Alligator mississippiensis: one gene and its partners. The protein of the gene in region 4 interacts with the protein of the main gene of each other region in a biochemical or structural test. Links are inferred from orthologs where the notes say so. Each region holds a gene or a part of one and is shown on either strand. Other genes may lie near its edges. The genes, in order: CHGB, MATK, BAG5 and LRRK1.

What was found.
Region 1: the proteins of LRRK1 (region 4) and CHGB form a complex in vitro, tested with the Homo sapiens proteins (2 studies listed by BioGRID and IntAct, with this or other methods). The link is inferred for Alligator mississippiensis from reciprocal best matches to the Homo sapiens genes LRRK1 and CHGB.
Region 2: the proteins of LRRK1 (region 4) and MATK form a complex in vitro, tested with the Homo sapiens proteins (2 studies listed by BioGRID and IntAct, with this or other methods). The link is inferred for Alligator mississippiensis from reciprocal best matches to the Homo sapiens genes LRRK1 and MATK.
Region 3: the proteins of LRRK1 (region 4) and BAG5 form a complex in vitro, tested with the Homo sapiens proteins (2 studies listed by BioGRID and IntAct, with this or other methods). The link is inferred for Alligator mississippiensis from reciprocal best matches to the Homo sapiens genes LRRK1 and BAG5.

The regions. Positions count from the first base shown.
Region 1 is NC_081824.1:226,561,729-226,568,669, reverse strand, and holds the start of CHGB (secretogranin-1), read left to right. Parts: upstream 1-3,937; 5' UTR 3,938-4,032; coding exon 4,033-4,081; intron 4,082-6,941. UniProt on the Homo sapiens protein: Secretogranin-1 is a neuroendocrine secretory granule protein, which may be the precursor for other biologically active peptides.
Region 2 is NC_081839.1:9,348,032-9,355,774, forward strand, and holds the start of MATK (megakaryocyte-associated tyrosine-protein kinase), read right to left. Parts: upstream 3,005-7,743; 5' UTR 2,640-3,004; intron 1-2,639.
Region 3 is NC_081825.1:286,693,215-286,700,964, forward strand, and holds the start of BAG5 (BAG family molecular chaperone regulator 5), read right to left. Parts: upstream 3,012-7,750; 5' UTR 2,862-3,011; intron 2,595-2,861; 5' UTR 2,567-2,594; coding exon 1,214-2,566; 3' UTR 1-1,213. Other genes in the region: cytochrome c oxidase assembly factor 8, read left to right, coding at 3,099-3,209, 4,742-4,939, 6,282-6,345. UniProt on the Homo sapiens protein: Co-chaperone for HSP/HSP70 proteins. It functions as a nucleotide-exchange factor promoting the release of ADP from HSP70, thereby activating HSP70-mediated protein refolding.
Region 4 is NC_081834.1:7,133,154-7,141,151, reverse strand, and holds the start of LRRK1 (leucine-rich repeat serine/threonine-protein kinase 1), read left to right. Parts: upstream 1-4,992; 5' UTR 4,993-5,092; intron 5,093-5,330; 5' UTR 5,331-5,428; intron 5,429-7,998.

The DNA of each region.
Region 1 (6,941 bases), on a different chromosome or scaffold from region 4:
ACAGGGTTTGGTCCTTGGACCGATATTATTCAATATCTTCATCAGCGATTTGGACGAGGACATGGAGAGCACCCTCTCCAAGTTCGCTGATGATACCAAGTTATGGGGCAAAGTTAGTACACTGGAGGGCAGGGAGCAGATTCAGGCTGACCTGGACAGGTTGGATCAATGGGCAGAGAGAAATAGGATGCAATTTAATAAAGATAAATGTAAGGTACTCCACCTGGGAAGGAGGAACCACCAGCACACCTATAGGTTGGGGAGTGTCCTTCTCAGCAGCTTGGAGACAGAGAGGGATCTTGGAGCCATAATTGACCCCAAGATGAACATGAGCCAGCAGTGTAATGAGGCCATCAACAAGGCCAATCGCATCTTGTTGTGCATTAGCAGGTGCATGACTAATAGATCAAAGGAGGTGATGCTCCCCCTCCATGCGGCACTGGTCAGGCTGCAGTTGGAGTCCTGTGTCCAGTTTTGGGTGCCACACTTCAAGAGGGACACGGGGAATCTTGAGAGGGTCCAGAGGAGGGGGGGACCCGCATGATTAGTGGCCTTCATGATAGACCCTATGGGGGGAGGTTGAGAGAGCTGAATCTCTTCAGCCTTCATGAGACAGCTGAGAGGAGATCTTGTGGCCGCCTATAAATTTATTAGGGGAGGTCAACGGGGCATAGGGGACGCGCTGTTTACTAGGGTGCCCCAGGGAATGACTAGGAATAACAGGTGTAAACTAGTTGAGAGTGGCTTTAGGTTAGATATTAGGAAGAAATTTTTCACAGTAAGGGTGGCCAGGATCTGGAATGAGCTTCCAAGAGAGGTGATGCTATCACCCAGCTTGGAGTTCTTCAAGAGGAGGCTAGATAGTCCCCTGGCTGGGGTCATCTGACCTCGGTCCTCTTTCCTGCCAGGAGCAGGCAGTTGGACACAATGATCCATTGTGGTCCCTTCTGACTCTACAATCTATGAATCTAGTACAGCACTGACGTTTGGATACAGAACTACAAACTTTCAGCCCTCTAAAATTATGAAATTGACTTAAAAATAATGAAGCATTTTATTGCTTTTGGGCTGGAATAATCCATTGTGGATCCATTGTGGAGAAATATGTGGATTGTGGGTTTTGGGCTTGCCCAAGTTTTTTGGCACCAAAATAAATGGGTTTCAGATCATGCTTTCATATTCTGTCTTTGTTCACTCCTGTCAGCTTTTTCATCAGGCTTTCTTCTGGGTTTTGCCATGAGCTTGTTGTGTGACCTCTGACAAGTTAGATCGATCTCTTTAGGATAGATTCTGATTTCCTTTGCGCCAATATAAGTTTGAAGTAATTCACAGTTACTCCTGATGTAACTGGAAACATTATTTATCCCACCTGTGCCTTCATTCCCCTTCAGTAAAAGGAACGCAGAGAAATTTCCTGTTTTGTAAATGTTGCAAAGCTCGAACCCTTAATGGTTTCATGGTGAAGAGCACTTTCAAAGATCCTGTAAGTAACAATAAATCCACTCCCATAGCTGAGTGCAAGGCAGTAGTACAGCCCCTTACTAGAACAGCAGCTACTTGTACAGAACAATTAGGCCACTGAACCTTAAGGTAAACCTTGGGACCCAAACCTGTCCCAACCCCAGTACCACTCTCTGTAGCATGAAGACTCCCATGTGATTGCCCCATTAGCTATCTCTTATCAAATGGAGTGTTAACTGTGCATCCTCTGCACTAAGGTGAATTTCACTTGTATTAAAATATGTCCATCCCCCCCACCCACTCCCACATCATGCAGCAGCAGGAAGTTAGGCCTAGCTATAGCAATGCAAGGTCAGTGGTACAAAAGCTACATGGGGGCAACCAAGAAGCATCACTATGTGAACGAGGAGAGTGAGAACACGATTTACGGTAAACAGCCAATATTCTATTAAATCTTTTCTAATTGTGGAACAAGATAATTTGACTTGGAGCCAAACTGTATCTTCAAATCATCAGTAGCACCAGAACAAAAGCCATTAGAATTCCTGAGAGACTTTCCACCGATTTCAGGGGGTTTTGTTTGAATCAGGCCTTAGGAGTCCCTCCAGTCAGTGACATCAGGAAATAGGGACATGGGAGGGGTTGCCTGCAGGTTAGACAAATGGACTGACCACTGATTAAGTGACCACTGATTTGCTTTTCAGTTACAATTAAGTAATTGTAATAATATTATCACCAGGTAAAGAAAGCCACTTCCTGCAAATGACAAAGAGGGTGTATGAAGGCATGCCGCTTTGACTTCATTCTGAAATGCTGCCTTCTAAAGCAGGATTAAAATAGGGTATAAGTTCCTGGTTTTTCCTAGGCATAGAAGCCAATAAGCGTGACGTTTCACAGTGTTTGGTGTCCTTGTATCCTGTTTTATGTGTTTATATCCTTTGAATATATATCAGTCTAGCATTAACAATAATCATTTGAATGCAGCCACTGGCTGTTATTCTCTATTTCTAAAGTGCCCATCACAGTGGGACCCCATTCTCAATTGGCCTCTGGGCATTACCTTAATAGAAGTAATATAAGGTATAGCAGATTACAAATGCATGCCTCTTCAGGAACACCGGCAATCAAAGACAGACCCCTGCCTGCCGTGTTTGAAAAAGATGCTGTCAAACATGAAGGCATGGGAGAGAGTGCTCTCTCTAAGAGTTGATGGGAAGGAAAGAAGCAAGGGGGAAAAAAAGAACCTAGGTGAGGGATATCTTTGCTCAGCTCTGCTCACTGAGGGGGCATCAAGCATTTCTCTCTGCAGGGAGTGCTTTACAGGATTTTATACTTTGTTCATCAAGGGATACTCTCAAAGGATGGGGTCTAGTTAAAAAATGATGTAGTCTTTTCCCAGTATGTTAGATCATAACAGAAAGTGTCTCAGTCACACCTCTTGAGGAACAGTGTGTGTGCCTGTGTGTATATGTGTGTGTGTGTGTGAGATGATCTCCCCACATGGAAAAAGGATCAGGCTGTGGAGACCAAGTGGGATTGCTGCATATGGGACTCATTTGCTAGCAAGTATCTGATCCAGGGTTTGTTTTGCATTGTCAAAAGAGGGAGAATGGTTAGTGTGGAAGGCATGGGCTTCCCAAAGGCTAGAGGGGTTGCAATAACAGCGACCTTTATTGCTAAGATCCTAGGGAGCCCTGATCAGCAGCGAACCTAGAAATGTGGTGGTTTCCTTTGCATTTATTCCATGGGGCTGAATGACCCACCCCCCTCCCCACATGGCTGCATGTAGGTAAATGTTACAGCATCCGGTGCAAATGGGGAAGGAGGAGATTCTGCATCCTTCAGCCCAGAGAAAGGGGATGGGGTGGGGGGGCTCTGTCTAAAGCCAGCCTGTGGGGAGATGTGGAGGGGGGTCATACCTCTTGGAAAGGGGCAGGAGGAAGGGATGAACTGGGTGCAGGGCAGGGGGGAAGAGAGGGGGAAGGAGAAAGGAAAAGGGGTCCTGCCTTTTGCAGCCCTGGGGAGAAAGGGTAGGGGGAAGTGGGGAGAGCTGTCTCCTCAGTCTGGGGAGGGGGTGGGTAGGGAAGGGGGCCTGGATTTGGGGGGCAGGCGGGGGTGGGTGCTGTGTGTGAAGGCGGAGGGGGGGGGTTCAGGGAGTGCTGTGTGGTGGTGGAGGGGCTCTGTGAGGCTACTGGAGGGGCTGTGTGGTGACGAGGGGCAACCAGGCAGGGCTGTGCGTGGCCGGGGAGGGCTCGGGGGCGGGGGGTGCCAAGGAGGAGACGGTGGCGGGAAGGCGAGGCTGGGCTGGGGCAGGGTCCGGCGGTGCCGGACAGCGGCGCCTCCCACGGCCCGGGCGCGGGGGCCCGGCGTGACGCAGGCTGCGGGCGGGAGCGCCGCGCCCCCACAGTGCCCGGCCCGGCTCCTCCGCCCCCGCGTCCCCCTTTAAATAGCGCGGCGCTGCCGCGCGGCCCCAGCCCGACCGCAGCCCTAGCCCCAGCCCCGCCGCCGGGAGCCGCCGCCGCAGCAGCAGCCGCCGTGCTCGGAGCGGGAGCGGGAGGCGGTGGCAGGGCGATGCCGGCGCTGGCGCTGCTCGGGCTGCTGGGGGCCGCCGCGCTCGCAGGTGAGTGTCCGTGCCCGGCACCGCGGCCAGCGCCGCCGCCCGCCCGCCAGCACCGCGCCCCGGACAGCGCCCGCCGGCGGGCTGTGTGCGTGCGTGCGTGTGTACAGAGGAGTGTGTACATGTGAGCGTGTGTGTGTGCATGCTTGTGTGTGAGAACATGTGAGTATGTGTGCATGCGTGTGTACATGTGAGCATGTGTGTATGTTTGTGTGTACATATAAGTGTGTGTGTGCATGCCTGTGTGTGTACATGAGTCTGTGAGCATGTGTGCATGCTTGTGTGTATGAGAGCATGTGAGTATGTGTGCATGTTCGTGTGTGTGTGAGTGTGCATGTGTCTGGCATGCCTGTGTGTGTGCATATGTGCGTGTCTGCAGGAACCCCCTTCCCTCTCCAGTCCCTGTCTGCCTGCCTCTTACAGAGACAAAGATAGATGCTCACACCTGCACAGATCTCTGCACAGAGAAAACATAAAGGCATGTATTCATGCATGCACACGCACACACACACATATACCTCCCCCCCCACCCATGTCCTGCATGTGTCTATGTGCCATAGCATGCATGTGTATGGGTCTGAAGGCATCAGTGTGCCCATTTGCAGGTAGGTATCTCCACAGAAGTATACCAAGTGTTTGGGGTTTCTGCAGTGTGCACAGCACACACCTTTGTTTATCCCATGGAGGTCTCTAGAGAGACACTACAGTGCATTAAGCAGATGTCTGCCCAGGTGTGTATACATACATCAGCGTGCATGTATGCATTGTCTAGTGTGTAGGTGTCTCCATATGTGTAAAATCTCTCTCTCTATATCATGTGTGAGCACTCACGAATGCACACACAGATTTCATCGTTTGTGGTTGGCACAGACTGGGAACCATTCTGACTCCTTTAGTCTTCTTAGCCAGACTGGCCAGAAATGGAGACAGCAAGAAGTTATTAAAAATGAAGAGAAGAAACAATATCCATATCATAAAAATACAAGCAGATAATAAGCATCTGGCTCTTTTGCCAATTATTTTTTAACCCATCCTTTTAACAGGCATGTGTTGGGGAAAAAAAGTCTGTCTGGGGAAAAAAGCTGGGCTTTATTTAAAAGGGCATGAAGATAAAACGCCTTGCTAGAAACTCTTCTTTTTAAACTGATGCTTGTCTTTTAGTTGTTGTTAACCAGCCTACTTTAAGAAACAAACCAAAAAAAAATGCAACCAACTAAACAAAAAACCCTGATGTTGGAGAAGGGAAAGGTTTTATCCTGGAGGATTATGCCATCTGTTAAGAGTTGTCTTTCTATCCAACTCAATGCAATTTTTTAGAGAGTGGATAGTAGCGCCTCTTCTCACTGAAACTGGCCAATCACCGGAAATCTGGGATGGATTTATTTGCTGAACCTGTCAAACAGAGCTGAATTCTGGAAGAGGAGAATGACCAAATGATTCTGAGTCGTTTATTTTTCAAATGGTCTGTGAGTTTGCCTACTCTTCCACTCAAGGCAGACACATGAAGAGCCCTGGAGATTGAACAAGATGCTCCAAAAGAATTATCTGTCTAAGGAGAAGTGCCTATGCAGGCAGAGGTTTCTATAAAATGGGTATTGACTAAATAAAACATATTCTAGAAATTTAAAGGGAAAGCATATACATAGATGGCTAACAAATATAATTCCACAGGTGGAATGATTGTTATTTAACTCTCCCCCCAATTAAATGTCACAACAAAGTTTAGAAGAGCTCAAATGTATTAGTACTAAAGACATAGAAACATGTGGAATGTGTCAGTGAAAAGATTTCCAGTTTAATCTGTTTTTGATCTGTTTTAATCATATTACTCATTTGGGGTTTGAATCTATCACTTGTACTTACATTGAGCAGTACTGAGCTCCTTGAATATTCCCTTGACTACAGTAAGAATAATTCCAGAGCAGGCTGCTGTTTAATGTAAAGGACCTGTTATTGGACTGCTTGGTAGTCTTTCTAAACTGGTTGCTGACAGCATAATTTGTGAGAAGAACTAAATTAAAAGCACGTCTTTTTGCCTACACTATTCTAAAACTAATCAGTCATCTGTTTATTTAATTGCCTATGTAACACTTATCATTCTTTCCCTACTGTTTTTCTAAGTCCAGTTTTATGCGAGAGAAAGTTAATTAGCCTTAACTGGAAAAATATGACTAGGAAACTCATTTTGAAGTAGCAAAGTCAGTTTGGGGCCAGCTTCAGAGTGAGATGCACAGGCAGAAGCCTGTTGTGCCCCTGTGAGCCAGGGCCCCCACAGAAGGACACATGGTGGGCTCCGACCCTGCCCCCCAGCACAGCTGGGAGGTAAGTGGGGCCTGCGGTGGGAGGGGAGTAGCCAGCTGCAGGAGGCAGCTGAGAGGAGCTGAGGAGGATCATGCCTCCACCTGGCTCCTACTTGGCTCAGCCCCCCAGGGAGCCACGTGAACAGAATGTGCGAACAAAGTGCACAAACAGGAGCGCTCTAGGCCTGGTACATGAGTTAGCATAGGAGGGCAAGCAGGAGGGGCATTAGGCTCTAGGTGGTGAGCCTCAAGAGAAGGTCAGCACAACAGTAGCCAGGTCTACTACCTGTGCAATGGTGGGAGGGACACGTTGCACTACAAAATTCCCCCCTACAGCTGGACCCCCTCTCCCGCTCTGGTACCACTGAGACTTAGATGAAGCCTATGGTTCTGGCCTAGGGGCTTGTGTCCAGGATGTAACTGAGAGGATCCCCGAACTCATCCGGCCCTCCGACCACCACCCCATGCTCCTCATCCATGCGGGCATGAATGACATGGCTCAGAACAATCCCAGGTGGGTCATGAAGTGACTACAGGGCTCTGGGGGCTGGGGTCAATGGTCT
Region 2 (7,743 bases), on a different chromosome or scaffold from region 4:
CCATGATCAGCACCACAGGAGCTAAGCACTGCCCTTTGTGTTGCCTGGAGCTGCCCTGCTTTGCCTCTGATACAAACTCACTTTACTTCAACCTCTGAATCGGTGCCTGGCTGCCAAGAACCTCTGGTTAGTGCAGAAGTGCATGGCTCCATATTGCACTGATGGTGGCACCCCTATACACCTCTCCAGCAGCATCTACCTTAAGAACAGCAGCTTGGAGGGCTATGGCAAATGAAGAGCACTGGGAAGTTGCTGCAGATGTAACGGGGAGCTAAGTCTTCAAGGGCTGTCCATGTGTGGATGCCCGGTGCTATGGTCACACCCAACAGGCCCTACATGGCACTGCCATCCATGGCTGAACACAGTCATCTAGCGCAATCTGTTGATCAGGCAATGCTCTTTGCTCTGCTCGGTTGAGGAGCAGTCAAATGAGGTGATATTGGAGCCTTGTTGCTTCCAAAGCATGCCTGGCGTGAATCAACAGTAAGGCAGTATAAAACAAACCATCCCAGCAGGGGCAAAGACCAAACAAGACGTGATAACCCTGTCCACAGCAGAGCGCAGCACAACTGCAGCCTCCAAATTTAGGAGGCTGGACTGTCACAGACCTCCCCATCCGTCTTTAAGATGGCAACAGCAATAATCTGGTCAGGGGTGTTGTGAAGTGCTTGGTCCTGCATGACCGAGGTCATGGAAACACTGAGATATATAGTCATAGGTCTTAGGATGGGCAAGTCAGCTGCTTTTTCCACTCACTCTTCCCCCACTATAAACAAACCAAACCAAGCCAAACCTGACTGGTGGGAAAGAAGAGCAGTCATGATGATTAGAAGTGATGCATGGCACCGCGCGACACCAAAAACGATACCCAAGCCACCAGAAAGGCTAGCCACGCCTGCCAAAGCAGCACGTCCCAGCAGATCCTGGCAAATCTTGGTCCCTCCTCTCCTGGGGGTGCCTTCTGCAGGAAGGTGCACTGACAGCTGTTGGCGAATGGTGCTGTGAGCAGGGAGCAGCAGGCAGATCAGCACAGCTGGAAGGGAAAGTGGAAGCACACAAGTGCTTCACAAGAGCACCTCTCGGGAATGCGCCTACAGGTGCCTAGATACCAAGAGGTAGGAGCTTTAGCTTTGCTAGGAGGGGTCAGTCCTGGATCTGCAAGGGCTGTAATACTGCTGGATAATCTGGCCATTAGTGGCCTTCTCCATTTCTCTGCATTGTAATGCCCCAGAACAGCTGGTTTTCCATTCAGAATCTTCCCTTGGGAGTATGCATCTGTGGGCGACTTCAGCAAGAGGGAAGGTGGGCTGCTGGAGAGCCTGGGGGTCCAAGGTAGGGAAGAATGAACAAGAGGTTCATCTGCCCCACCCAACCCAGGCAACACATCTTATGAGCCTGGCTTAAAGGAGTCAGCAAGAGCTGATAGACAGGAGTAGTTCTGGTGATCAGGGGCAAGGGGTCTGGCTGAGACCATCAGATCCAGCTGCAGAAACCAGCTTATTAGAAAGGCCAACATGCATCCTTTTCCTCTCTGCCACTCCCAAAGCTTATAAATGAACTTCTCCTACACCGCCCTGTGATCCTCGAGCATACCTTGTCTATGTGGATCTCCTTTCTGGGTGTCATGGACCCAGAAGTCAGAGCCATTTGGACAAGTACCTCGAAGAAAAAGCACCTGGACTATAACATTCTTTATAACAGCGATTCTCGACTCAAGGCCCCTCTCATTAGATTCAAGACACCCCTCGGAAAATGCCAGCTCCTAGTGTTTTCACTTGTTTTTTGGCTGCAGAAAAATAACAGAGCAATTCTTCTGTTGCAAAGAATGCAGAAAGGCCACCGCAGGCCAGAGTGCTTTGGACACTCTGGATTTCTAGTTGCAATCCCTGGGTTTATTGCATGAATCGTGTGTAGATGTTGCACACTCAGCAGTGCTGATGTTGTGTTACACTCTGTGACACACTTAGAAGGCTTTCATGGCGCCCAGATTGAGAATCACTTTTTATAACTTGGAGCCCCCACCGCCCTACACTAGGCTGGGACACAGGGCTGAAAGGTGAACAATTTCCCCGTTCCCAACCAAATGAACTAGTTTTAATTGCCTTAGCCTGTGGAACTGAGTATATTGAATATACTGAGTATATTGAATATACTTCCTGATAGATACCACATATACCGGAGGGTTTGGTTCTTACACCAATTCTCACGTGCTTTAGGAAATTGCCCAGAATATGGAAACCATACTGGTTTGAAGCGCAATAAGACAACTATGCCCTCAATGCACGGAACTCCTCCATCTTGAGAGCTAAAGGAATCAAAGGGCTTTACGTGCTGTCTTGGAGTATACGTGTGCTTTGGTAGCTTGCAGGAAGCCTACCAGGATCTCTGCACCAAAACTCAGCACGCTTGTATCTGCTTTCTAGAGGTACCCCTCCTCCCCGCCTCACCAATACCCACCCACATGGATATCAGGAGGGCCACCTGGGTACAGATGGACAGAGGTAAAGAGGTGGTACTGAGCTACTTATCCCTCTGACTGCAGCACTCTTCGTTTGACAGTCACTTGGGTCTCCTCTTTCCCCACCAAGAAAATATGTTACGCAGCGGCATTACTGAACCAGCCGGATCTTTGCACTTACCTTCCTGGAGTGTCCATGCAAGGTCCTTGGTGTTAATGTCGGTACAGGTTTGACCACAGCTTAATCTGGAGCCGAGTCCCAAGATTCGTGGACAATAAACTCCTGTCCAAACAGAGGAGCGGAGCGTTACCACCCAGGGCAGCTGCAGCACCCTCAGAAAACTACTGTCGTTATACTGCCTCAGTGTTATTTCCTGATTTCTCTCTCGTTTGGCTCTTCTGCAGACGTAACGTCTTAGAGGTCCTAGTGCCTGCTTCCTCCACAGTCAGGTTTATTATTCACCAGTGATTCATTTGTTGCTGAGGCTAAATCCTCGAGTGACTTTTGCCCCCTCATAACACATGCCCATTAAGGAAATTGAGGAAAGCATTGGCAATTGGCTGATCTGCAATAATATAGCATTTTATGATATCCAAAGCAAACTAGCATTCAAGTGATATGAGCAGAGTGCAATTTACTCCTACAACTTTATTTTTAGCGGCACTTATTTTTAGTGGCAGGGACTGCATAATCACCAGCGGGTGACAACGCGAGGAATCATGAGTGGCAGCAGCTTTCCCACAAGATATTTTGGAGCTTCAAGAAGGGAAATGTGATTAGACTCTAGTAGGAACCTTGAATTCTGGTCCCAGCTTCATCACTGACCTTCTGCCTGGTGTGAGGAAGTCACTTCTCTGTGTCTCAGTGTTTTCAGCATTAAAACCGATGATAAAAATATTGACCTAGCTCACAGACACATCACGAACAAAATGAGTAACTGCAAAGCATGGAGAGATCCTTAGCTCACAGATGCCGTACAAAGGCAAAAGATTACGCAGCCCTCGCAGCCCTTAGTTAGAACATGTGGACACAACCTGTTTGCTAGGGAGTACATTGGCTTTATGCTGCAGCAAAAATGAAGTGGACACACAAGTACTAGTGTAAGTCACTCTGCTCCAGGACAACCTTACCCCTCAGGAAGTGAGGAGCAGCCACCACTGATATAAGTTACATCGGTGTCCTGGTCCTGTGGTTACATCTCCATCCAAGGGAAGCCCTCGGTCAATGCAAATCAGCTGTCCACATTGCGTGGCCAAGTGCTGCAGTGGCACCTACTGGAAGCAAACAGCCTGGGCAATGTGGGCATTAGGGCTGTGTGAAATTTCGCTGGCAGTTTTGTTTTGATGTTGTTTCGACTTGTTTCCAGCTCGAAACAGCGAAATCGAAACAAAACAGAGCTTTGAAACAACCTCGAAACAAAACAAGGCGAGTCGAAACGTTTCGAGATTTTTTAAACGTTTCCAGTTTACTGTCATCCTTTCCTGAGGTCCCGTCCAACCCCAGTGCTCTGGGGGAGGGATGGAAAAACTGCATAAAAGGCAGTATTGTTTGAACTGCCCTGCTTTCTGCCTTGGTGGCAGTTACTGAGCTGCGTCTTCCAGTTTTGCCTGTCGGCAGCTAGAGGTGCAGGGCCCCAGAACCAAGAAGCCCCTGAACCTATGTCAACAGCTGGCAGCTTCATGGCCTCAGCAGGGGCCACCATCCCTGCAGCTTTCACCCTGCTGCGCCTTCACACACACAGTGTCACCCATGTCACGAGTTTTGCTTGTCCACAGCTTGAGGTGCAGTTTCCCCAAAACCCCTGCACCTATCTCCTTGAAACTTGGCAGGCTTCATGCCCTCAGAAGGGGCTACTATTCCTGCAAGTTTCATCCAAATCAGACCAGAAATGACAAAGTTATAGGCAGTTTCAAGCTTCCCCATTATAGCCTACGGGCAAAACGTTGAAACAGCGAAACTGTTTCGATGAAACAAAATGGAACAGCAGTTTCGAATCGAAACAAAATTTGAAATGAAATGCTGTTCTGTTGAAACGCAAGTCGAAATGGAACGGTGCCGTTTCGCACAGCCCTAGTGGGCATGTGCCCATTCATTACTACATAGTAAACTAGAATAGCCGTCCTCAACCTTTTTAGACTCAAGGCACCCCTGGTTAGATTTGAGGCTCCATCAGAAAATGCCAGCTCTCCATTTTTACGTTTTTTTGACTACAGAAAAATAATATATCAATTCTTCACTTGCAAAGAACTCAGACCATAACAGGTCAGAATGTTTTTAACACCATAGGTTCCTATTTTAAATCTCTGGGTTTGTGAATCCTTTTTGAACACCTAACAGTGCTAACATCACATGGAATACTATGACACCCATCTCATGGCACCCCAGGGCGGCATGGTACCCTGATTGAGAATCACTGTATTTTAGAGTAAAATCTACGTTAAATTTCTCTGAGTTAATTATGTCATGTGTCCATACCCAGAAGTGCACAAATCATTGATTTGTTTCAATTCCTGAACAAAACCAAAAAAAGTTGAGAATTACTAGGGTTGCGTCAGCCCAAAACAAAAGGGCTGTTTTCCAGCAAAGTGATAAGAACCAAGGCATTCATTTTAGGGAACAACATTCCATTTTGGAGCTTAAGCCTTTTCAAATGAGACTCTGGCCAGTTCTGAAATGGTCATTTTTGGAGCAAAAGTTCAATGTTTCATTTTGGAAATATCAAAACAAAGCAGTTAAATATTTCTAATTTGTTCCTTAATGTTTCAGTGGAGACTGCAGGATTCAGACTGAGCTTGGGGATAATTTCGGTTCCTTGCAAAATTGCATTTTTTTCCAGCAATTAAGCAGCTCCCCCAGATAGCTGGTGTTATCCATCACAGTGTCAGTGATGTCTATAGAGCTATAAAAACACTCTGGAAGGACTTGGCCCTATAGCTTTTGTATCATATACCTGGGCCGTCCAAGAGGGTGGGCATCCTAGGGAAAGGCCTTGGGCTGGCTATTTTGAAAGGTCTGAGATGAAAAGAATCCTCATCCAAGACATGCTGTTGCGAAAATGACTGATGATTACTTGTGAAATAACTTATAGACCGCTGCAATATAACAGGGACTTCGCAATGTGATTCAATACGTTTGCTATTGCTGCCCAAGGGTATTGACCAGGTGAATTAACAGCTTCCTCATTAAAAGGAAGTTGTAATGAGGAATTAAAAATATAAGCAAGCAGTTTCCTAGCTATTAACAAAAGCAAAGGACTAACAATTCACAAGGACAATGCCATGACTCATCTAAATACAGTCTTTTGGGGCTGGGATATGATGCTGATAGTGTTTTTCAGATACCTGCTGTTAATTACAGACCTGATTCGTTTTTATTCTGTTGCACATTTGTAAAAAGTTGCAAATACGACCACAGGTTCCCTGTGCCAGGCCCAGTATAAACACAGTGAGACAGCGCTTGCCTTGAGAAACTTGCAGTCCAAGCTGGGGGTGGGTCCGAGGAGCACTGTGGGATGCCGGAGGACTCAAAGGTCTCTGTTGTGCTCCACCGAGCATGTCATTTTGAAGCACTTTTAAAAAGTGGCTGCTTCCTTCACCATTCCTGTGGCACTTCCACTGGTTTGGGAGCACTTCAAAGGGCACATACATCTGCCTGGCTTGCCCTTTGGCATGCTTCAGTGGCATTTGAATAGGGTAGTCATACTTCCCAAGTCACAAAATGGCATAGTCTGCTCCTTCCCAGCTCTCCTGTATATTCAGCTGTCTTATCACTCCAGTCTCAGCACAGGGAGCAAGGGGGTGAAGGGGTTTTGTGAAGCACCAGCGTTGGGGTGGGGAAAGTGAACTGTGAGAAGCCAGAATATCAGCAACCCTCTATCTTGCTCCCTAGCTGGAGAGCATTGCTGCTGCATTCCTGCTGAGAACCAGGTAAAGGCATTCATTTGACACAGATGGGAGAGGGGGTTAAAATGGGCCTGTTCCAGTGAAAATGGGATGTATGGTCACCCAAATGTTTCAAAATGCTACATGTGTCCACACCCTGAGTGGCCCTATGATGTGTGAAAGGGAACAGATGACCAGTGAAGTGAACTCAGCCAAGGTCATGCAGGAAACCTGACCTGGATCTCAGGTCACAGGATAACAGCCTCACCTGTCAGCCCAAGTGAAAACAAAAGGGAAAAGCAACTTGAAAGCTGGACACAAGTTCATAAGGAATTAGGCACGTTGCAACATGCAGGTGAAAGCGAAGGTCAGTGGTATGGAAGGGGGAGCTGCTAGAATAGATGTGCCAGAAGCAGTGGAGTATTTTCGTATGATCAGACTATAAGGTGGGACCTGGGAAGGAGAAGCTGCAATGGGCAGCACAGAAACAGATTGAGAGCCTTCCAACAAAACATGGGAAGAGAAAGCACGATGGCTGAGCTGCAAGGCTGGGCATAGATCCTAATTATCTGAAAATGGTTCCATCTGATTTGATTGCGGAATACCTGATAATAAAACTGTATGTCGAGGTACTATTGTTGCTATAAAATGGTGTTGCGGCGCTGACTTTTCTTTTGCTTGAAGTCAACCAGGCCTGCATGTTCCCTCTGCCCACCCACCCTCTTTAAAATCTGAAGTTAACTGTGCAATTAAATTCTTTGAAATTAGGCCGGAAACAACCCCCAGACTTATACCACTGTTAAAGATTTTATGCATGATGCATTTCCTCAGGAAACTGGCAATCAAAAGCAGAAAGCCTTGCAACAGGGCTAGGTTAGTTAGTCCCTAGGCCTACCCACAAAGTAGCAGTTTCCTTTCCATTCTCAAATTATTATTTTCTTTTGCACCAACTACAGCTGAATACATGAGGGATGAAGAATTCTAACGAAGGGACAAAAAAGAAATCTCATTTTAAGCTTCCTGTGATACCTATTCTTGGGGTGGGGGGGAAGTATTTAGTAAGTGCTTCCTGCCACTGCAGCCAAGCTTGCAGGTTCAGCAATGGCTGTGTAAAGGTGTGTTAGCAGCAGAGGCTCCAGGCAGCACCTGAAGTTTTCCCCACCATATAATACCTAGTGAAAGCAGATCTCTGTGACGCTGCTGAAAAAGTCTGCCCCAGCGCGTTGCCACAAATCCTGGCATTGCTGGAGCTGAGCTGGCTGTTAGGAGAGAGGGAAATTTTAAGAGAAAAAAAAAAAGCCAGCATAGGTTTAAAGTAAATATTTTCAATGAATTTACACCTGAATTTACACCAGTGAATTTACACCTGAATGAGGGAGTGAGTTTTGCATGGGATGGAGATC
Region 3 (7,750 bases), on a different chromosome or scaffold from region 4:
TTTGATCCATTAAGGCCATTTAATGCAGCTGTCTGTGCACCACCAAACATTTGCTACAGTGGAAACATGATTTGTGCTGGCTAATTAGTTCCCATGGCCAGAAGAAAAGGGTACTGCAGAAAGCAGCATAATCAGCTTTATTTAAACAGCTGAAGAACCAAACCAATAACTGGTGAATTAAGAGAAGAGACATTATGCTACAAGTCTTTTGAGTGTTAGCATCTGAAGATACCAGTATGAGATCTGTAACTTAGGTATAAAAGCACAGACAACATTGTAACTACCTAGTTTTACAAGGTTAAATCAGATGCATCCACAAGCAATAGTAAAAGTGGTTTCCATACTCATAGACTGTTGAGAAGATTCATGACATCCACCCTCAAGAACAGGGTTAGAAAGGATCTAAATGGCACCTGCACAAGATCCAGTCCAGGCTTTATGGATGCCAGTATAAAACCCTATAGATTTCACATTTCTCCACTCAGCGCCTGCTATAATTTTTTTCTGTTCCTTAAAGTATCATAATTACTTTAAAACAAAATGAGAACAGGAACTTTTCCCTAGGTCCATCCATTTTCTTGTAGTACCAACCAGCTGGGCATTATGTATGTAAATGTTAATTTGCAAGCTGTCTTGTAATACTGTTATGAAATGACACCAAACACAGTAGAATGAAATAGCTGGAATAAAATCAAGCACAAAGGAAAAACCAACATTTTTTTTTGCATTTAATCCTTCTGATTGGAACAGCACATTAAAAGCATGTCCATGCTGCTATACAGTTGCTAGATCTAATCTTGAATTTGGTCAATAGTTTTAGTTCCCTGCCTTCTTTTGGTACTTTTCCCAGTAATTTACTTCAAGGAAGCCCCTGCCTCTTTGAGAAGTCTGCAGCCCCTAAATTTTATATTATGTTTCTTTAAACAAAAACTTGGCCCAACATAAGACACTCTGATCATCACTCAGCAACTCAAGAAATCATCATCTACATACTGCAGTGATAAAAACTGAATGGTTAAGGGTAGGCGGACAGTTGCCATGGCAAACGAGTGAAAGCGTGGGATAGCCGTCAAGCCAACTATTTATGCAGTCTCTGTAACTTGAGCAAATATTAAAACAACACAAATTTTAATTATCTGCTGCTCATGGGACTATCAGTTTATATAAAGTGCAAAAAAAGAGAAAGCAATATCTCACAGGGACCACAGCTGTTTCAGTACTCCCACTCATCTGTTTTCATGTCTAGATAGTAAAGAGTATTCTGGGCAAGCTTTACTGCCTGCTTTCTGGCAGCCTTACAGCGTTCATCTCCTTGAGGGTCAACAGCATCAAGGGCTAACAGCTGCTTCGTGAGCAGCTCTTCCAGTCTCATGTAGTTCTTATCAGCTCGGTTTCCATCAAATGACAGCACCTCCTGCTGAATCTGAGAGAGACTTCCAAGCACACTCCAGACTGCTTTGTGGGAGTGATGTTCAGCATTAACTTGATCACTGTGCATTCGCCTTTTTTCTAACGCTTCTTTTAAATCAATGTATGTTATAAGAGTTTGCACTTCAATCACTGCTCTTCTCCTGGCTTCTCTGATACATGGATTCTTTCCTGGACTCACTTCATCCAAGCACGTGATTAATCCTTGCAGTTCTGCCTTAGATCCCAAATACAAGTCAGAAGCATTTTCCACTCTTAAAAGTACAGAATGAACTTCTTTCATTTTTTTGCGGATCTCTTCTATTTTCAGAATGGACTGATTTTGGGCCAAGTCATAAGCTGAAGTTGTGTCAGCTTCCTCTTCCAAATCCAGGTATTTCTGTAACTTATTGATCTCTTCCACCACTTCCTTCCTGTAATTTCTTATTTCTACGCGGCCACAAACATCCAAAGCATCCAGATCAGCCATCAAGCCGGTAAGCACGCATGCTAAGTGCCTGCAGGTTTCGTTGTTATTTACTCCCATGAGGAGCGCAATAAGCGTCCCTCTAGCTTTGTTCACGTCGCACAGGACAGAGTTAATTTTAGAAATGGAGGGATGCACGTCGTCGGACAGCGGCAGCGAAGGCTGCTGCTTGACGCAGCTTTCTATGATCTCCTGAACCATACACACTTTTGTCACCGTGCGGTACCTCGCTTTCCGCAAGGAGACTTTCCCTCCGGTTTTCACCTGAGTGAGTCTCAGGATGATGTCCTGAAGACCCTCTTCGAACTCGTCGCTGATGCAGTTGGCGCCTTTGTAGAAAGGGGTGATTTCCCGTTCCACGAGGGACTGCGCCTCCTTGTAGATGGCCTCGATCTCCAGCCTGTGCGGGTGGTTGGCGTTTTGCTCCAGCTCCTTCAGCAGCCTCTCTGTTTCCTGGGCCGCCCGGTTGCGGGCTTGCTGGACGTCCCCTCGGCCCTCCGTGTCCACAGAATCGATCTCAAACAGCTGCCTGGTCAGGGCCCGCTCCAGCTTCTTGTACTCCCGGTCCGCGGACAAGCCGCTGAAGGCCGCCACCTGCTGCTCCAGGTCCTTGACTTCCTTCTGGATCTCCTGGAGCCGTCTGATGGCAGGGTGTTGGTTACCCATATCCATGCTCTTCCCTCATCCGGCTCCACGTGAACTGAGAGAGACAGAGCGACACACGGGGCTTGGCACCAGTTCGACAAGCCGCCCTCCCTCTCGCCCCACACCATCGTGGGCCTGGGCTGGGGATCCGACCTCCGCCACCCCCAGCTCCTGGCCCGGGCCCTGCTGCGGGGCACAGCACGCCCTGCGCCCCCCCGGGCTCCTCAACGGTCGCGAGCGAGCCCCCCCCCGCCGCCCCCCCTTACCCGCGGGCCCCGCGCGGGCGCCTTGCGCCACCGCCCCCCGCCCGCTCGCTCGCTACCTACCTGCCGCGTTAGCCCGCCGGCCGTGACGTCACAGCGGGGCACGAAACGGCCAGGCCCGGCAGTGGCCAACCGGCGGCGAGCCCGAAGGGATGGGGGGGAGGGGAGAGGCCGCTGCGTCCAGTCCCGCCCTACCCCTCACGGGGCTCTGGGGGCGGAACCCCGCGAGCCGCTTCGGTTGGTCCGCTGCGCTCTTACGACAGTGCCGTAAAGCAGCAGCCGCCGCTGAGAGGCTAATGGCGGCCGCGTTGCGAAGCGTCCCGTGCCGTTGCTACTGCAGCAGCTGCCGCTGCTCGGGGCCGGCACGCGCCCAGGGGGCGGGGCTAGGCGACCGGACGCGCGGCGGGGTAGGTGTGGCGGGAAGGGCGCGGGGCTGTGTGGCCGTTGGCCCCGCCCTACCGTAATGGGCGGTAACGCTGTCGCAGGCCCCGCCCTACCGTAATTGACGGGATGTGCGACACGGGCCTCTCCTAGCTGGGCCGTGCTGGAGCGGGTTTGGGCTGGCTCTCCTGACGGACCGTCCAGCCCGAGCGCTTCATAAGCACCCTGGGCTACGAGCTCCCCCACAACTCACGGATTGAACGAACCGGGATTGGCTCTGGAGGTGGACGCTGTCATGCCATGCTCGTAGGTTCTCCAGTCGGAGGGCCCCGAGCAGATTATCAAGTCCGCCCCTGCCCTGGGCAGCAACGAGTGCTGGGATCGTAACACCCCAGCCAGATATCTGTCTCTTGAAGGCCGGCCGGGTAGGGGAGAGCGCCGCTGCCTCCCTGGGGAGCCCCTTCCAGCGCCTGGCAGCCCTCACCAGGAAGCGATGCCTCCTGATATCAACCCTGACCCTGCTCTCAATCAGTTGGTGGCCAGTTTGTTTCTGTTGTGCCTTTCCCGTGGGCAGCTCGGCGTGCTTGAGGGAGCCGTGAACGCCCCCGGCAGGGACAAGCTCGCTTGTTCGCGCTTGGGGAAAATGGGAGCGTTGGATTGATGCTGAGGCTGTGGCGGGCCAGGACTCGTGCAAGAGGCGAGGGTTTCTTAGGGCGGTATCTCTTACCGGACCAGCCGCCGAGCTGGGATAGAATTAGACAAGCATTTGAATGCAAGGCTGCCTTCGTCAGCTCTGAGCTTTCAAAAGCTTGTCTGACTCCGTCGCAGCTATGTGGTTGGTCCAATGAAAGATATCACGCTAAGAAATCCCTGCCTGTCGCACAGTTTGGGAAACTAAACCACAAAAAAGTAATTATTTTTCTAAACCAAGCAATGAGTCATTAACAAGGTGTGCTAGAAATCGGGTGTTTTCCCTGCTCCAGCTTTGACAGCTCCCTGGGGAGTCTTTGCTTGCTATTATTAGACATGCAGAAGCAAAGAATAAATAGAAAATAATACCACAAAAGTTTTTTAAGGTGGAAGGCGGGGCCGGGTGGCCCTCTGGACACTAACTGGTTCTGAGAAGCATGAGCTTTCGTAACCTACAGCCTGCTTCATCAGGCTGTATACATGGACTCGCAGAAATAAAGGGTGTTTAGTAGAAGGGAATTTAAATACAATGGAAGGGGACACTGCAGTCACTCATTGCTATCAAATAACGGGACAACATGTCAAGTGAAACAGTCATTTGTTGTGTATCTAATCCACGTTTGTTGTATGACTCAGAGGTCACTTGTGCATCTGTGTCATGTTGCCAAGCATAAAAGTGAATCATGAATTACTGTAGAAAATTTAAATCGGATTAAACCAAACTCGCATTCTTTTTTCAACTATTCAGTTACATGTTTTGAAGTTATACTCAGCTGTGTGAAGTGTTATGATATTTTTCTGTGAACTTATGTACAAAACCTAAATAATTCAAAATGCTTGTTATTCCTTTCTTTTCTTTTTCCCTGAGGTTTCAAGCTTCTGCCCTCCGGCACGTTCTTGTAATGATTGGATCGGCCCTCCTGACAGATATTCAAACCTCCGGCCAATAATATTTTATGTTCCTAAAAATGAATCATCACTGGAACAAAGACTTAGGGAATTTAGACAAGAAACTCAAATGTGGAATCAACAATTCTGGGCAAACCAGAATGTGTCATTCCAGCAGGTGAGCGTGTAGATGAGGTACTAAGCCACTTGGTGGTGCTGAGTTTCTTTAAGAGCTTGCCGTGTTAATAGCTGATAGATAAATGGAATTATGTTTCTTACGTGGAAGATTTTCACAGCTGCACTGCAGAGTGACCTTGAAGCATGATTGTTCTTTATTATATAACTCCTCAAAATAGTTGAGGTAATGCAAAGTATTTGTCTTCAAAAATATTATTAAATTATGTCTCTGCAGTTCTTTATCCTGTGCTTTTAAATTTGATTTTGTAGCTGATTCAGCCTGAGTAATGTCAAAGAAAACCAGTTTCTAATGCGTCTGTTTTTGTCAGTTTCTGTTTTTGCCGTTGTTATATTGTCTTCTCAATACTAAAGAGCACATTTAAAGATCAACTACATAGTTAACCAGTGTATGTCTAGCTGCTGTTTAATGCAGTATAAAAATATTCTCCCTTTTTTCTGGCTTTTTATTTAACAAATATCAGTGTATGATTGTCCTCTTTTATCCTGGAGAACCTGGCATTCAAGCTGGTTATTGAAACCCGAGCTGCAAGCCTGATAACTCCACGATGAGTGGGAGCATAGATGCAGTTATAGAGGGAGAATAAGCAAGAGCTTTTCTGTCCCAATATATCTTCCTGACCATGACTTTGGGCAGGTCATTTTCACTCCTAGTCTCTCTCAGGTTTTTTTATATGGTTGCACACTGGGGAGGAGATACTGAATTTTAGGTTGAGGGAGCAACAGCAGCTTAACTATTAACCCCCAGCTCTGATGACCTTTTCCAAGGTTCTCCAGAAAGTGATAAAGTTCTCTAAACAAGAGAAAAGTTTGCTTCCTTTAAATGTCAAAAGAAAATTTTGGGGGTTCCGTTCTTTTTTTAGTTTTAAAACTTTTTTTTGGCTGTTTAAGTAGCTTTGAATTAATTTAAAGGGGAAGCTACATGTATTATTTGGACTCAACTTTGTGTATAAAGCAACAAGACCTAATTTGATAAATTGCCTTATTTAAAACTTGCAATGTAAGGTCCTGATCCTGTGAACTTGCGCACGTATATAACTTACACAAACAAATCACATTTATTTCTGTGGGATTCTGTATATAAATAAACTCATACACACATGTAACAGTGTGCAGGATCAGGGCTCAGTGACTGTTTCCTTAAGAGGATCAAATTAACTTATTATTGGATTAAGCAACAAACACTGTTGTCATTACCAGGTTTAGTAAGGTCTAGAAATGGTCCTTTTACATGTTCTTGAAACTTGCTCAGTAAGCTGGTAGGTGGTATAGGTTGGCTAACTTCAAAGACTAAGTGTGTTAATGTGTGGAAACATGTGTTTTAGGGAAAAGAAGAATTCATTTATTCAAGACTGAAAGCTAAAGGTCTGCAAACAAGAGATGAAACAGGTCAGTGAGGCTGTTGTATGTAGTTTAGTGTGTCTTCTGTTTTACCTTTGGGTTTTGCTAATTTCAGTTCCCCAGAAAGCTCAAGAGCAGTGGTCACCAACCAATGGATCTCAATCCACCAGTAGATCTCAGAACCTCTTGCAGTAGATCTCGGAGCCTCTTGGAGTCAATCTGAGGCTGGGGTGGAGGGGTGAGTGCCTGCATGTATGCACGTGAGCACCCCAGCCCAGCGGGTCGGTCTGTGGGGGAGGGAAGGAGTGGGGGCTAGATCAAGGCCTCTGTGGTGAGGGACAGTGCCACGGAGGCAGGAGCAGGGGTAAATTGAGTGGTGCCCTGGCCGGGTGAGACTTACCTGCCGGGGAGGCACATCCCCAAATATTTTTTTTTTCTCCCTCTGCCTCGATTTGCCCCACTCCTCCTTTCTTCCCCATGGACTTACCTTCTGGGGGTGGGGGCAGTGGCGGTGCACAGTAGATCTTGGGTTCTTTTTTAAATGCCAAAAGTGATCTTCTACATAAAAAGTTTGGAGACCAGTGCTCAAAAGCAAATCCAGCCACCTCTGTGGCTGCAGGGGTACGCTGTGCCTCTAGGAGCTCTGGCAGCCTGAGATCTCTGTTCCCAGGAAGGGAATCCATAATTACTTGGTAGTCCAAGTTAAAGCAACCCTTCTCCCCCTCACACATACTCACTCCAGTGAAGTAGTGGAGCTGAGTGTTGGAGAGAGTTTGCTCCTGAACACACATTATGCTGGGGCTGCTAGCCTCACAAATTTGGGCTGTCTGTGATAAGAGAGAGGCTGGTTTACCTGTGCTGCCCATGTGGCTGGGAAGGCAGCTAGGCTGTCCAGGCATGTGACCTGGGGGTCTACAGCCCATGCAGCGTGTGCCCCCCCCCACACTGTCCAAAAATTGGACAGCCCTGGCTTATACATACAACATGCTTCCTTGAGGAAGAGGGAGTCAACTTCTGAGGAAGGAACAGCTATTTCCCAAGTTTACTTGCCTGAACCCAGTTTCTGGAAAATGGTTGCATGTCTGTTTAATGAGATGGAACTAAAAATAAGATACTAATACAGGGGATCTGTAGAGCATGGTACTAAGCATGCCTGAAAAGAATCATTTGATAGATTGTATTGTCAGAGGAGGCCATGAAAGCATCTAGTCTGACCTGTATTTTACAGATCATTACATTTCTCCTACTTATTCTTGTTTTTAATTCAGTATCTTGTTTGTTTGATTAATTAGATAAATTAGACTAATTAGATAAATTGAATTTCTGTCATGTTTTTTAAAATACCAGAATTTAAATTTATATCACAGTGTTAGTTTTCACTTTTTATTGTTTTATTTAGATTACAGAAATAACAGAAATAATAAATTTGTATATTTCCTGGAACTCATCAACT
Region 4 (7,998 bases):
ATGATCCCGAGCTCTGTCTGACCCGTGACCAAAATTCCAGACATCCCGCATTACAGGGAGTCGGCTTTTATCAAACGGTGCCCTTGAAAGCAATATTACTTGCCCAGATCATGTTTGAAAGACCTTGGGCTTTGTTCACGTGGACTGTTCCTGCATTGACGTATGTGGGCCTTACTTGGAGTAAATGAACACAGCTCCATTGACTCAATTGGCATTGCTCCTGCTGGTAGTGGGAGCAATGCCACTGAAGTCAAAGGAGTCTGTCAGGTGCGAAGACGATAGCCCATCTCCTGCTGTCGGGGGGAGCGTGGCTGTGTGTGCATGGGAGTTTTGAAGCACTTTTATCAGAAGAGTTACCTTTGCTTTCTCTCATGCACATGCAACCTTGAGGCAGGTGGAAGCCTGGCCCTGAGTGACATCAGTTGGAGTTTTCTTACACACTTCCACGGGGCCAGGATTTCACAGGCTTAAGATCCACGTGTTCTTTGCTGCCTGTCTCTTGGTGCACGCACTCTGCAGGCGCTGAGAGTACAAGTCATTGACTCCATAATCCACCTGGCTCCAGAGTCGCTCAGATCACAAGTCATTACTTCGGCACTTTTCACAAGAGGATTTTGCACTGCATCTACCGTAGTGACGTCACCACTGAGGGGAAAATGGAAACTGGAGCTGAAATCTTCTCGGAGGAGAGGAAAGATGGAAAGGCAGCCTAGTTTGCCTTGTGCTTCTTTCGCTGTCCTTTGGATTCCCATGCGCGAGGTTCATTTTGTTCAACCAGATCTGTTTTTGAGGTTGAACAAAATTAGAAAGCTCCCCTTCCCCTGCCCTCCCCATACCCCCAATGAATGTAGCTTAAACTAGACTCTTCAAAATACACAATGAGAGAGAAACTGCTCCCAGGCTGGGACTCTCATGTTTAACTCCCAGTATGTTTTTGAGAGAGAGAGGACCTGATCCTTTGGTAGCTCCATGGCTTGGTCCTCCAGGGTCTGAGTTGGAGGATACTATTGAAGAACCTGATTGAGATGCACCTTGTCTGAAAGCCCAGGGTGAGAAGGGAAGTTGCCAGTGGTGTGAGCTTACTTCCAGAGGCCCCAAACTGGATAGCACTGCCCAAGATGGGACTTTGGTTAGGGGGCAGGGGATGCTCTGATTGAACTGCCTATTCTGGAGAGGCTTCCCAGAGAACCGTTGACTAAGAGTGAAGGTAAGGAAAGTCTGATGGGCAACCACTGCACCCACACACTGTCAGAGCCCCGCTGGCTTCCACGCAGCACTGATGAGGAGGACCCCGAGGTGTCGGTGGGAGTCCTGCAGGTGGCTAAATAGCAAGTGTCAAATACTAGGGTCTTGAAATGGAAATGCAGGCTCGCTATGGCAGTGCAAGGCCAGAGCAAGAAACTATACGTGTCCTCCAACGTAATTAAGAATTACTCCCACGCTGCTATGCTGGGAGACCGGTTTACTTGGACCTGACCTTCCTTAAGAGCCAGCAAGCCTTGAAAGAAATGAGGCTTTCACACTTTAACTTCTTATCAATGACCTATCCCCAGTAGCTGTATGCTAGGGAGCATCTTTTCTCCTGTGAGGCAGGATATCCACAGATGAATCTTTCTCCCTGAAACAGAGAGACTTCCTCCTTCCTCCCCGAAAGTCCAAATGGGAAAACTGTAAATAGTCTTCTGTTTTTTGCAATGTGTAGCAAGGAAGCCTGAGCGCTCCCTCAGAAATCATTTTCACCACTGCTTAGTGAATGGGCTTTTAGCATCCAAAGCTAGAACTAGACACAAGGCAAGTATGTGATCAAGTCAGGCAAGAAGATTAGTAATCAATGTAGCTTTCTGTATTTCTTCGTTTGACAAACATCTTAATGAAATTGTATGTTTTCAGATGTCACCATATTCTTTTTAGTATGGTTTTTATACATATATATATAAAATACGTGTGTGTGTATATATATAAATATATACATTTCATCTTTCCTCCTTTTTTCCTATCAACTTAAAATAAATGACTTAGTAATGTATTCTCTTATTGTATAAATCAGGGTTTGGCTTGACACACTGAATTTTCTAAATTATATATCTAATAACAGTAAATACTAACTTTTAAAATGACCCACGAGTGGGTATATATTCTTCCATTGCACAGTAATGCTTTTTATATGAAATGCTACTTTTAAATATATATATAAATATATAAACTAGGTTACAGTTATTCTAATGTATTTTTATAGCTGAAGGTACATGGAAATGCTAAGTTTTAAACCTCATGTATATAATATAGAATATTGGGTATCTTTTTTGTAATGTTAGCTTTTCAAGTTTTAATAAAAATGGTTAACTTTGTGGTACAGATTATAGGTGTGACATTTAACATCTTGCCCAGTAAAAAAGTACGGGGGGGAAATCTGATTTCACTCCCAAAGGTAAGTGTGGCTCCCTTTGTATTAGAAGATATTGGAGTTTGTCCTATTATCAGGCCAAATGCTGCCTTGAGATAAGCTTTATGTCCTTTACTGAGGCTGTTGTGCTCCCTAAGACCTTCCCCTGACTTCCTTAGGCTCTGACTTGCTGGTTATCCCCTCCTTGCCCTTCACGCAGTCTGAATTTGGGCCATTGTCAACAGAATTGAACGTTGTAGATGGGTCAAGCGCTCCTGCTCCTAGAACAAAATGCCCCTGTTGTGCTATAGTAGCAGCAGCCTGTCTCCTTGAGACCGCGTGCTGTCTGTCCCCCTGGTATCCAGTCTTCCCCAGCGGGTTTCCAAGAGCAGAAAGTCGTGCTGAGCTCACAAAAGGGACAACCGAACACTGAACTACCTTCAATCGGAGAGCACCGTGTCCACGATGATACTGGATTACCAGCGTGGGTGAGCAGGGCACTTTCTGCCAATGCAGAAATGCGTTGGCATGGGCCAGTGCTGTATAAGTGAAATAAGACAGCTCTTCCAACCAGCTTGCCCCCTGTGGGGTCAAATCCTGCTGGCCTTACTTGCTAGTCCTATTGACAGCAGGCTAGGATTGGGGCTGCTCCAGCCTTTCTCCATCTGCAAGGTGGTCTACGTCCTCGCCTGGCAGAAGTGGGCATAGTTTGGGAGTGGAGACCCAGCCTTACAACTCCACACTGATTTAAAGGGCATAAAGCCCAAAGCCAGAGAAGTGCTAAGACTGCTAGTGGGGTGTTGGTTGTTGCCGTGTTGCTCTACAGACGTGGGCAGACTCGTGGGAACGCAACGCAGGAAGAAGGGGTTGCCATTAAGAGCGCATCTTAGCTGAGCATCTGGAGAAAATTCGTGCTTATCTACATCAGTCTGTCAGCACAGAGATGGGTCCTTGGTTTTATTCTGTGTCTTCAGAGAAACCTGCTGCAGAAAGAGTTTGCAGGTGGGGATTTGTCTCTATAAGCCTGTCTCAAGCAGGGAAAGACGGAGGCCTGAGGGGGTAGAAGAAAAGGCAATGAGTAAGAGACTGGGTAAGGGCAGGATTAAGAACAGAGATGAGTTTGCCTTGCTCCTCCTGGCTCTTACGACAGTAGCAGTTGGATTTGGGGAGTGGAGGCTGCCAGGAGAGCTGTCTGATGTGGTGCAGCTGGGACCGAGCTCCCTCAGCTGCAGGGATTTGGGGTCCCAGCTGCACCCTGGGGGCAGCATGCGGGTGCGTGGAGCACCTCCACATCCCTGTGGCTGGGAGATCACATTGGCTGCCATCTCCCAGCGCCCTGGAGGTGGCAGCAGCTGGGGTCTCCCCACCCACCTCTGTCTACACGTGCACCTTGAATGGGGGGTGGAAATAAAGGTTTTCCAGCAATAACTTTATACCTGATTGGAGTGTTTTAAGGTGGGAGAGATCAGTTGCAAGTGTAGCTGGTCTACGTTTTATGGTACGCTTGGCTGGGTAATTGTGCAATAAAGTGTGTGTGTGGATGAGAGACTGAGATGGTGTGTAGACACGTGTAGGAATAGAGTGGGTGTGTGCGGGGGTAATCGAGTGTGTGCGCACAGATGAGAGACTGAAACAGTGTGTACACATGGAATAGTGTGTGTGCATGTGTGTGTATGGGCACTACAGAAAGTGTGTGCATGTGTGTAGGCAAGTGTGTGAGTGCACAATAGTTTGTGTGTGTGTAATAGTGTGCATGCAGGCAATTTGTGTGTGCATGTGCGCAATAGAAAAAGTGTAGGCAACAGGGTACGAGTGTGCACAATAGTGTATGTGTGTGTATGCAGGCAATCTGTGTGTGTGCACAATAGAAAAGTGTAGGCAATAGGGTGTGAGTGTGCACAATAGTGTATGTATGTGTAATAGCGTGCATGCAGGCAATTTGCGTGTGCAATAGAAAAAGTAGGCAATAGGGTGCGAGTGCACAATATGTGTGTGTAATAGTGTGCATGCAGGCAACGTGTGTGTGCATGCGCGCAATAGAAAATGTGTGTAGGCAATAGTGTGTAAGTATGCACAATAGTGTGTGTGTAATACTGTGCATGCAGGCAATTTGTGTGTGCATGTGCGCAATAGAAAAGGGGTGTGTGTGTAGACAATAGGGTGCGAGTGTGCACAATAGTGTATGTGTGTGTAATAGTGTGCATGCAGGCAACGTGTGTGTGCATACGCGCAATAGAAAATGTGTGTAGGCAATAGTGTGTGAGTATGCACAATAGTGTGTGTGTAATACTGTGCATTCAGGCAATTTGTGTGTGCATGTGCGCAATAGGAAAGGTGTGTGTGTGTGTAGACAATAGGGTGCGAGTGTGCACAATAGTGTATGTGTGTGTAATAGTGTGCATGCAGGCAATTTGTGTGTGCATGTGCGCAATAGAAAAAGTGCGTGTGTAGGCAATAGCGTGTGAGTGTGCACAATAGTGTGCATGCAGGCAATTTGTGCGTCTGTGTGTACGTGTGTGCAATAGAAAAAGTGTGCGCGCGGGCAATAGAGAGAGCAGGAGCGCGCCGGGCCGTGCTGGGCGGGCCGGGGGCGGGCCGACGTGCGGCGGACACGCCCGGCCCGGCCCGGCCCGGCCCGGCCCGGCGCGGCGGGGAGGAAGCGGGGCTCTTCCGTGGGCGCGCCGCCCGGCTGCCCGGCCGCGGCTGCAGGTAGGAGCGCTGCGGAGGAGGGTGGCGGCGCAGGGCAGGGCAGGGCAGAGCTGCCCCCAGGGCCCTGGGCGGCTGCCGCGCGGAGCAGGGGCCCCTGGGGGGACAGCGCGGGGTGGGTGTCACGCAGGGGTGCGCGGAGAGCCAGGAACAAAAGCTCTTCTGGATGGAAACCAGAAAACGAGCTTTCCTCCAAAGCCCCCAGGTACCCCCCGGCTGACTCCCCTTTCTCCTCTTGCAGCATCCGTCCCTTTCCTCTGGACGTCGTTCCAGCGGCAGCGCACGGTGCCCAAGGCGCGGGCCCGCGTCCCGGGGAGCCGGCCGGTGCACAAGGGACCCGTAAGTCCATCCAGATCGGCGAGGCCGCCCAGGCGACGCCCGAGACGCCCTGGCAGGACCGCAGGCCCGGGGCCGGCGCAGCCTGTTGCAGCGCGGGAGGAGCGAGCGAGATGAGGGGCAGAGTTTGCGGGAAGGGGAAGAGCTCCAGAGCAGCCTGGGTGGGTGGGTGTCGTCCGCAGCAAGCGTCCGTTCAAAGGGAGCCGAAGTTTGGGCTCCTACCAGGTGCCACTTCCTAAAAGCTGGCAGTGGAAAGGAAATCCTTTAAATACAAAGGGAAACTACTTTGTATCCAGTAGCCTCTACAGTAACCCCTGGCCCTGCTCTGGAGTTTTTCGTGGTGCAGAGCAGTGACAATTGATAACCCCTGGTTTTACTTTTCGCACGAATCTCGGAGCGCCCCATAAGCAGTGATTAATTCAGCGCTGCGTCTCTACGCTAACCAGGGCAGTTCAGCCAGATTCAAAACGGGACCAGAGGCGTTCGTGGAGGGAAGGTGAATCAGCAGCCACAGAGCCTGGGAGTGAGGCTTCTGAATCAGGGCTTCCTGGAGCTTGAGTGCTGGAGGCTGCAAGCGAGAGGAGCGGTGGAAAAAAGCATCCCCGTTCACTCTCCTTTTCAGCATCCGCTCTCTGCTGCTGTGACACAGGAGGCTAGGCGACACAAGGGGCTTGCTAGCATTCCCAAGTCATTGCATCTTGGTTGTTATTTCCTTGAACGGGCCCAGGGCGGGTTACTTTTCATTGTGTCTCTGCTCCCGTGGCAGGAGCGGTGCTAGTGGCTGCCAGTATTTTATGGGATGAATTAAGCTCGTGCCACGGTCTTTCGGCAGGGAGCTCCTGGTGTTCCACGAGGAACCCGGGACTTCAGGGGACCTTCGGAGCCATCGAATCCAGGTCTGAGGTTGACAGATGTAGCAGAGATTTTGCCCTAACATTGCACCAATTTACCTTCTCTCTTGGAAAATACTTCTCTGCGTGGGGCTTCATCCTGCCTTCTGCAGTCATCCGATGAGCCCTCGGTCGGCTGGTTTGTTCATCCACCTCATTACCCCATGTTAGTGCCCATTGTAAGATGCCTTTAACTCTATCTTTGGCTTCGAAGAGGGCATGACATTGTTTGGGAAGGCAGTGAGATCTGACGGTTTAAGCAGGGGCCTCCTGATGTTGCTCTGGAGCCTGGACTTGGTGAGCGATATTAGGCAAGGCATGCCCCAGATTACCTATAACGTGGGTATGGCACAGAGGGCCAGTGTTATGGAGAGGCTTAGTTAACCGTTGTGAATTGCTCGGAGAAGCTGGGAATGCAAAGCTATTTATTTTTAAAAGCCTCCTGGACTTTGGACTCAATCTGAACTCAAGCTGTCTGCCTGCCAGGAAGTCTCCGAGGAGAAATTGGGAAGCTTGCAAATAGCATCTAAATCTGCTTTAAAATATATCGCTTCCTGCTTTAATCTGGCAGAGTGGATACTGCAGCACCTTGGGCAACATCCACTGGTTATTGTTGCGTATTCAAGAGAAAACCTTATGTCACAGCTGAGACATGGAGCAGTAACTTAAAGGTATAAAACATGACAGGGATGTTGCATCTTGTTCCCCGATCAGTAACCTGGGAAATTCAGGGCACATGCTGAAAAGAAATTCAAAGGTGGGAGAGTTTAAAGATGTGCGGTTGGATCACCTTAGCACTGCCTTGCATTGCCTTCTGCAATAACGCAGTTACGGAGAGGACAGGTTTGTATTCCTGGCCTCGGACGGGGGCAAACTGACTTCTTCCGCACCATGTATTCCAGAACGATTTCCTGCGGGGTCTCCATGGGGCAGAGCGAGGGAGTTAGTGGCACATTTGGAAATTGTGTCCGGGGCAGTTTTCACCCACCTGCAGTTAGTGGTCACTGCAGACTACACAAGTTGCAGCATGGCATCTAATTTTTCCCCCCCCATGATTGCTAACATTGTTTTAGGGGGAGGAAAATGTCACGTAAGACTGGATGTCTGCTGCGGGGGGGCTGTGGGGCCAGTCTCTGCTTTGCAAGAGGACGTATTCACCCTTGCTGTAATTCCTCAGCGGAGTTGTAGAGGATGATTTATTTGATGTTGCCAATACTGTGGCAGTGCCGCCTCCCACCCTCCCCACGCATACCTTCTAAACCTGAGACATCAGTAGGCGCCGTAGGGAGAAGATGGTCCTCGGTGCTAGTAGTTTTGCAGATGCCACGTTCAGTGATTTGGCAAATATTTTTGCCTTGTTCCAGGCTTTCTTAAAAGAGCAAAGCAAAGGTGGTGGTGTGTGCAGTGACCACTGGGTGATCTCGCACAGCGTCACATATTCACCCTCACCACAGCTTCTGATCTTGCTAGGGTCCCCAGGCAAGAAAGAGGAAGATCGATCGGGGTGAATCCAGGATTTGGCCATGCTGCTCAGGTGGCTGCACCCCCTGCTCCCAGCCTCCTCCCCCCACCCACTGGTGTGCAAAGACAACCCCACCAGAGACGCTGGGGACTTTTTTGTAAGTCCCCCAAAGCACGTCAGACTCCCCCCTTCCCCTCCAGGCTTAAAGGAACGCTCCCTCC